Linked DNA regions of Saccharomyces cerevisiae S288C. The protein of the gene in region 1 binds, or shares a complex with, the protein of each later gene. Each region holds a gene or a part of one and is shown in the gene's direction. Other genes may lie near its edges.

The links. The genes of interacting proteins can lie anywhere in the genome.
Region 2: MRPS9 (region 1) and RSM10 share a complex: the UniProt entries of both Saccharomyces cerevisiae proteins name them as parts of the mitochondrial small ribosomal subunit.
Region 3: MRPS9 (region 1) and QRI5 share a complex: the UniProt entries of both Saccharomyces cerevisiae proteins name them as parts of the mitochondrial small ribosomal subunit.

What each region holds. Positions count from the first base shown.
Region 1 is NC_001134.8:533,393-536,603, forward strand, and holds MRPS9 (mitochondrial 37S ribosomal protein uS9m MRPS9), read left to right. Parts: upstream 1-1,867; coding exon 1,868-2,704; downstream 2,705-3,211. Other genes in the region: YBR144C (uncharacterized protein), read right to left, coding at 1-157; alcohol dehydrogenase ADH5, read left to right, coding at 370-1,425; RTC2 (cationic amino acid transporter), read left to right, coding at 3,183-3,211. UniProt on the Saccharomyces cerevisiae protein: Component of the mitochondrial ribosome (mitoribosome), a dedicated translation machinery responsible for the synthesis of mitochondrial genome-encoded proteins, including at least some of the essential transmembrane subunits of the mitochondrial respiratory chain.
Region 2 is NC_001136.10:538,262-540,914, forward strand, and holds RSM10 (mitochondrial 37S ribosomal protein uS10m RSM10), read left to right. Parts: upstream 1-1,541; coding exon 1,542-2,153; downstream 2,154-2,653. Other genes in the region: Na(+)/Li(+)-exporting P-type ATPase ENA1, read right to left, coding at 1-206; YDR042C (uncharacterized protein), read right to left, coding at 2,340-2,653. UniProt on the Saccharomyces cerevisiae protein: Component of the mitochondrial ribosome (mitoribosome), a dedicated translation machinery responsible for the synthesis of mitochondrial genome-encoded proteins, including at least some of the essential transmembrane subunits of the mitochondrial respiratory chain.
Region 3 is NC_001144.5:550,516-553,105, forward strand, and holds QRI5 (mitochondrial 37S ribosomal protein mS38 QRI5), read left to right. Parts: upstream 1-1,754; coding exon 1,755-2,090; downstream 2,091-2,590. Other genes in the region: MSS51 (Mss51p), read right to left, coding at 135-1,445; HMX1 (Hmx1p), read right to left, coding at 2,209-2,590. UniProt on the Saccharomyces cerevisiae protein: Component of the mitochondrial ribosome (mitoribosome), a dedicated translation machinery responsible for the synthesis of mitochondrial genome-encoded proteins, including at least some of the essential transmembrane subunits of the mitochondrial respiratory chain.

The sequences.
Region 1 (3,211 bases):
TGTCTACAGGACAGGGGCGCAATATATGTTCTCTGACATTGCACCTTTTGAATATATCATGTGTTTGTTCTGCTATCTGCTTGTAGAAGGGTACGCTAACAGAGCCGGCGGCATTGTAAAAAGTTCTCCTTTCGCGGAAGGATGAGTCAAAAAGCATGTGACAATGAAATAATCAAATTGTGACATCTGCTGACGCGGGATCGTTCCTTCGTATTGTCTAGATTGTAATCTATATAACATACTACGAATATAAAAGAGGGACTACAAGATATTTCTAGCGCAAACTACTGCTTTACTGTCTCACAATGTCTCTGATTGGAAGATACCTAAGAAAATTATTTAACTACATATCTACAAAATCAAAGCATCATGCCTTCGCAAGTCATTCCTGAAAAACAAAAGGCTATTGTCTTTTATGAGACAGATGGAAAATTGGAATATAAAGACGTCACAGTTCCGGAACCTAAGCCTAACGAAATTTTAGTCCACGTTAAATATTCTGGTGTTTGTCATAGTGACTTGCACGCGTGGCACGGTGATTGGCCATTTCAATTGAAATTTCCATTAATCGGTGGTCACGAAGGTGCTGGTGTTGTTGTTAAGTTGGGATCTAACGTTAAGGGCTGGAAAGTCGGTGATTTTGCAGGTATAAAATGGTTGAATGGGACTTGCATGTCCTGTGAATATTGTGAAGTAGGTAATGAATCTCAATGTCCTTATTTGGATGGTACTGGCTTCACACATGATGGTACTTTTCAAGAATACGCAACTGCCGATGCCGTTCAAGCTGCCCATATTCCACCAAACGTCAATCTTGCTGAAGTTGCCCCAATCTTGTGTGCAGGTATCACTGTTTATAAGGCGTTGAAAAGAGCCAATGTGATACCAGGCCAATGGGTCACTATATCCGGTGCATGCGGTGGCTTGGGTTCTCTGGCAATCCAATACGCCCTTGCTATGGGTTACAGGGTCATTGGTATCGATGGTGGTAATGCCAAGCGAAAGTTATTTGAACAATTAGGCGGAGAAATATTCATCGATTTCACGGAAGAAAAAGACATTGTTGGTGCTATAATAAAGGCCACTAATGGCGGTTCTCATGGAGTTATTAATGTGTCTGTTTCTGAAGCAGCTATCGAGGCTTCTACGAGGTATTGTAGGCCCAATGGTACTGTCGTCCTGGTTGGTATGCCAGCTCATGCTTACTGCAATTCCGATGTTTTCAATCAAGTTGTAAAATCAATCTCCATCGTTGGATCTTGTGTTGGAAATAGAGCTGATACAAGGGAGGCTTTAGATTTCTTCGCCAGAGGTTTGATCAAATCTCCGATCCACTTAGCTGGCCTATCGGATGTTCCTGAAATTTTTGCAAAGATGGAGAAGGGTGAAATTGTTGGTAGATATGTTGTTGAGACTTCTAAATGATCTTTTGTAACGAATTTGATGAATATATTTTTACTTTTTATATAAGCTATTTTGTAGATATTGACTTTTTACGATTTATTTGTAACAATGAGAATTACTCCATTTCTGAACTTCAGTAAATAGCGAGTGATTCTGTACTTTGCGAGAACCGGTGGACATTTGGTATTTTGCCTTACAAGAACAACCTATACAAACGTTTCAATATCTAATTCTTTGTAATCCATTGTTTTACGAGACATATAATGTGATATATAGATGAACTTTACGTATAAAATGATATATTTAAAACTAGCAACTGCGTGCGTAAGACAAACTGAAATAGGCCATTTACGGAAAAGAAATTTAATAATGTCGACTGGAAACTGAAACCAGGAGGAGTAGAAATTGGTTAAATTGATTAGCTAAAATTTACTCGTTGTGGACAGAGTTTGAGCCAAGCGGAATGTTTTCAAGGCTTTCTTTGTTTCGAAGGGCAGCTCTGGCTCCTGCCCCTATGAGAATGTCTTTTAGGACTATTTATCAAAAAACCGAGGATGAATTGCCCAGAAGGATCGTCCCAAAGCTAGCCACATTTTATTCGGCGAATCCTAACCATGAAGATCGTATTAATCGACTCGAAAGACTTCTAAGGAAATACATAAAACTGCCATCTCAGAACAACAATGAAGCACAACAAACAAAAGCTCCTTGGATTTCTTTCGATGAGTACGCTTTAATCGGCGGTGGTACGAAATTAAAGCCTACGCAATATACTCAGCTACTGTATATGTTGAATAAACTTCACAACATTGATCCTCAACTTACTAATGATGAAATCACATCCGAACTATCCCAATATTATAAAAAAAGTTCAATGCTTTCCAATAATATCAAAATCAAAACTTTAGATGAGTTTGGAAGAAGTATAGCCGTTGGAAAAAGGAAAAGTTCCACTGCGAAAGTATTCGTTGTTAGAGGTACAGGTGAGATATTAGTTAATGGTCGACAATTGAATGATTACTTCCTTAAGATGAAAGACAGAGAATCAATCATGTATCCACTTCAAGTGATCGAATCAGTTGGAAAGTACAATATTTTTGCGACAACGTCTGGAGGCGGACCTACGGGTCAGGCTGAATCAATCATGCACGCCATTGCGAAAGCTTTGGTTGTGTTCAATCCATTATTAAAATCCAGACTACATAAAGCTGGCGTCTTAACAAGAGATTACAGGCACGTCGAAAGAAAGAAGCCAGGAAAAAAGAAGGCAAGAAAGATGCCAACATGGGTCAAGAGATAGTCTTAGTGCATCTTGTTACCTCAATTTCGAACGGAAGCGTGCGTGCTCTGAGTTTTTTGACACATGCCAGAAGAAACGTTATATATTTTGCATACAACGCCGCCCAGCATTAGAAGCACAACTCTCGTTCGTTATTCCTGTAAATAAAGTTATATGTATTCGAATATTGCTCAGTTAGTATTTTCTTCTACTTACTGCACATAATACTTCATCTTTTTTTTCCTCTCACCCGCAAAGCAAAGGGGCCTTGCAGCAATGACTCAAATTCCATTGGAAAAAAGAAGGAGATGATAAGATGCAAATCAGAATAGATTTTACTATGACCGTTACATGTAAAAAGAGTCATAATATAAACCATAAATACTACAAATAACACCGGGTTCAGGCATATAAATAAACTATTCTCCTGTAATATCCCACAATATTTTGTTATAACCCAGACGTAATAGCCTCAAGCGAGCATCCCTAAATTTCTGCCATGAAGCTGATCCCAATTATTTTGAATGC
Region 2 (2,653 bases), on another chromosome or scaffold:
TGATGGAGGACCATTGCCTTGTAATCAATTTTAGTGTCATCACCCAATGTGTTCTCACCCACTGTTTTCAATCTGTGGACGAACTCATCTTGGGTCAAACCTTCAGTTAGACTTGTGCCTATGAATTCAGCGGCTTCTTCTGCAGTCAGCGTGTGATAAGCATTGAATTCTGCATTATTGTTTTCCTTAGTAGTTCCTTCGCCCATCGAAAATTTTCAATTCTGTGTACGAAGTTTTTTCTTTAATTAGTAAATATACGTATTGTTGCCTCAAATAAATGTGAATTAAGTGTGAACAGTTCACTTGATGAAGATATCTGCTTTATTAAAGTTAATATTAGAATATAAATGATTAGACTATTACTAATGAGAAAAGAAAGATAGGAGAAATAGTAGAAATTAATAGTACTCTAAAAAGAAAGAACGGAATAAGAGGAAAAGACCTTTTATCTATTCAAATTGTTTCCCTTAGGTATATATATATATATATATATATATATATATTTTCCCTGTATATATCTATGTAAATGACGAAAACGCATGACATTTTAAAACCTACCCCGGGTTTGACCACAACCCACCGTTCATCTAATATTAACCCGCACCCACCAAGGAAAGAGGCAATAATTCGGGAATACTGCTCTAAGACCTTGTTTTTTCTTCTGTCAGGTGAAAGTATATGACCAAAATCTACATCCCTGCCCTAACAAACGTCATAGAAGTAGGAAATAAATGATGAGCCCCGCAAAATGACGCCGCACGGCGATGTTTAAGACCCTGTACTCACAATGTAACCACTTCGTGCAGAAGCTTCTGGGAGGAAAGGGTCCGTACATGAATTATCACACCCACACCCCTCATTCAATCCTTCTACCGCGCATGGTAATCAATCATAACAGGAAGCGATAAGAAAGTTTACATTGCACAGCCACCCTCATTGCCTCTGTGATTGAAGATCTGGGAGTGGGGCTAAAGGTGCAACTTCCGTACAAGAGTGACGAGATAAAGGATTTTCCACGGAATGGCTGACAAAATTCGGGGCTTGTGTGAGTTCCACGTGCGGATGACTTAATAAGCTCAGTGATTGTACTTTTGACATGATTGATGAACGGCTAGAGATAGCCACCGAGTGGCTACTTAGTAATAACCAGCGTAGGAAACAATTACGGATTTTGTTATCGTTCACCGATAACCCTAAAATATTGACCACACTGGTAGTCATTAGAATTTAACCAAGAGGGTAGCTTAGTTCGACCGATAATCAATATTACTGAAGTCTTATCAAATTCTGACTCTTGCCATACCGTTTCTTATCGTCACTGTTTAATCCGGAAATTAGTCATGTATCCACACATCCTTTATTAACAGCAGAGAGATTGGGCAAGAATGTTAGCAAACTATGTACCAGGCGGGTAATACCTGTACATCTATTTTCTTTTGAAAAGGAAAAAATGCAAGAAAGGGCATGAAATGAAACTATTTGGTACAAATTAGAATTATGCGAACCGTGCAAAATCAGAAAAGGGGGAAAAACATTGGCCAATGCTTAGAAATACCATTGCATTAAGATCATTTATCAGAACACAGTCGACGCGCCCATATCCTGTAAATGTAGAGGCAGTCTACTATGCTCCTTTAAAGTTACCTATCAAATATGGTGATTTAGTTGCAGACATTCAGTTAAGATCGTATGACAATGAAAACCTCGATTTTTATTCAGACTTCATACTTAGAACAGGTTACTATTTGGGTATCCCATTGACAGGTCCTAAACCTTTGCCCACGAGAAGAGAAAGGTGGACTGTAATAAAATCACCTTTCGTGCACGCTAAATCCAAAGAGAATTTTGAAAGACATACACATAAGAGGCTCATTAGGGCCTGGGATACGAACCCCGAAGTGCTACAGATGTTGATAGCTTACATTACGAAGCACTCTATGGCAGGCGTCGGAATGAAATGTAACTTCTTTCAAAGGTCCGAAATATCGCTGGACTTGGGTTCGGACGCCAATGGCCTCGAAAAATCACTAAGCAATATCGATGAATTGTATTCTCTGAGAAACGATGATAAAGCTCAAACTAGTGCTGTCGGACAAAAAGTATTGGAACTATTGGATAGCCCCGATTTTAAAAAACATTTGGAAAAGAAGTAAAAAGATGATGGCAATCCTATAATTACGCTGGTTCTTGGGACCGAAAAGATTTCGTACTTGTAAATAAAATAGGTGAAGAAGAGGGGCAAAAAGTAGTAGATTAAATGGTTATACTGAATTTATAAGTAAGTTTAATTATATTTTTTAACTATATGATGAACAATTTTGTACTAATATTGCGGCCCGTTATGAGTATTGCTCTTGCCATAAAAGTGTGTTCACTGCTTTGTTTCCTGGTACTGCATACCGCTTAATATTGTTATCGCTCAATAAATTTAGTTTCTGGAAGCTTTCCAAGGACTTACCAGGTAGCGGGCCTGAGAATCTATTTTTTAGTCCATCGGCTACAAAAATCGGTAGTATATTTGTTCTTGGTAAGTAAGCTTTGCTAAAGGAAAGTGTCCTTTTTCTGTTTGTATTCTTCTTCGAATTCCACCTGAAATGTTGGACATTCAGGGATGTGTGTAACCGATACTTCTGGTCAGAGAGTTTGTATACAA
Region 3 (2,590 bases), on another chromosome or scaffold:
ACCATTACGAAGGGGGTGGGGTTAGTATTTTTGTATTTACAGATATTGAGATATCATACATAAGAAAAAAATTATAATAACGGTAGAAAACGCATATATTTATAAGATGAAAGTTGGGCATGGCCTCCCGATAATCATTGTCTCTTGATTGTATGGTACCTTTTACCTCTGAACCCGGCAATATACATGTTAAATTGATAAACTTCTTGAGGATTCATGTCATTTAATTCCCACTTCGTACTTCCAAATACGTTTCTGACGGGCTCCATTAAGACATCCATTTCCTTACCGTATTTGGATTTGACAAGATTTATGTCGTCCGTTAGGTCTTTCTTATTGAAACCCGTTGTGAAGATAGCACATTTTGTTTCCAGTAATGCCTTCATAGTTTCACCCATCCATGAACCGTGAGATTCTGGAGATGCGTAGCCTGGATGGAAAGTAAAAAAGACATCCATGTATGGATCGTATGGGAAAAAATCTTGAGCCTCATGGAATACTTCGAAAAAGTTTGTACGATAAATGAATTTCAGAGTCTCGTCTACTCTTTGTACTACCGGCGTAGTAGACTTGACGTACTCCTGTTTATCCCTTTTATACAGGCATTCGGGTCCAATGAAATGTATTTCGAAACTCTGCTCTGGGAAAAGAAACTGGAGCTGTTTCCAAACGTGGCCCGGCAATTGAGCTTCAGCACGTGCACCTAGGATGAAAATTCTCATAGCACGGTTCTTAGTTGTGGTTGGTAAAGATCTATTCTCCAACGGATATAAAGTATACCTGAGAGCAGCCAGAGATTTTAGACCTTCTAAGGTGATAGGCCCCTTTGGGTTCAATGAATACGGGGAAAATTTGTGCAGCAAAGACCCAATCGTAATTGGATAGCTTAGCATCTTTGTGACTGCGGCTAATTGGAACTCTGTATCCATGGAATAGAATGATCTTGTGTAGAAAAACAAATCCCAGTTTGTTAGGTTAACGGCCTTGTCGTAGCCTTGCTGTTGGGGAAAATCAAACTCCGGGAAGGGTCTACCGCTTCTTAAGTCATGCTCATAAATATTAACTTTTTTCAGGATTTCATATTTTTTAGAATCGTGATATGCTTTATCCATCTCCCAAGCCTCTCGTGAGTGATGAGTCGGAATTCCTGACAGAGGACAAGTGTAGTTAATATCTTTGCCGGTAACAGGGCAGTGTGCTAGCGTTCTAATCTTGGCGGCCCTTTCACGCAAGTCCACTGAGGGAGACTGATCCCATGGATGGAATCTGTTCTCCGGAGTAGGATCTTCTGGAGAGGGAGGAGGATCCAATCCAAGGGCGTTCCTAACGAACCCCATGAGGTGACGACGTGTTTGGTGAGAGACAACTAGCCTGTTGTGTGGCGACTTCCTTAGCAGATGGAAATATAGCTGAGTAGCACCCGAAGGAGCATATAGCACGGTCATAGTTCTGGAAGTACAAGTTTGCCAAACTACTTTAAGTCCACCTTCGCAATATCTACAGTGTTCTGCGCTTATAAAGTGTAAAAAAACTACAACCAAAGGCCCGCCCTTAGTAGTTGACCAAATATCTACTATTGTCTCTTGTCAGACTCCTTTGGATTATTTTCTTCGAGCCGCTTTTTCGTAGCGCATGATAAAAAGAGCCCTTTCCCCATACTGCACACTTAAGTGAATGCCAAATATAATATCAAGAGCGAAAGGCGGTTGAGTTCCAGCCAAGACGAGCACACACGACACCAGAACGAGATAAACATGCTAGGAAGGGCATTGCGACCTGGGTGGCTGGGCATTACTAGGACGGTGGTTAAGAAACCAAGTTGCGGGTCCTACTTTAACAGAACCTTTCAAACAGCAATTAACACTACAATGCCTCCCATGCAAGAGGGCATGCTGAGTACAATGATGATGATGACGGCTACGGCAACAAGGATCACTGGCACAGTCAGTGAGCCATTAAACGGTTCAAATATAGTGATGCAACTCGATTCAGTGATGAGAAAGAGGAAAAAAAAGATGAAGAAACACAAACTGCGGAAAAGAAGAAAGAGGGAGAAGGCAGAAAGAAGAAAGCTATCTCAGGGTAGATAATAGGGCTGTAAAAACCTCTCACATGTTTTTCTCTGCTGTTTTTCCTTCCCTATTCTTCATATTTTGATATTATTTCATGTATATATTATGTTTGTATTTAGACTTTTTTTTTTATACGTTATACTATGCTAAGAAAACTCTTTACCAAGAAGTAAAGAACCCAGATCGCGATAATAGAAAGCACCAGCAGCATGACCGTGTGGAGTGCTCTTCTAGTAGCAGAATCCTTGTTGAACATCCATTCTTCGTACAAGTACGTAATACACTTGAAGCTGAACTTGCCCATTAACTCGCGACGATTCAACTCTCCAATTTCTGCAACGATGTTGAAGTTCCAATCAAAAATGCCTTCTGCGACGCTAATGATCTGCAACTTTTGTGCTTCGGTCAATTCCGTCCTGGTGGCCAGCTCATAGTTCTTCTTGTATTCCCATTTCAAGCGTGTTTCTTCAGTGGGACCCAGATCGCTGAAGGTGAAGAAGTTTGTGCCCTTTTTGACC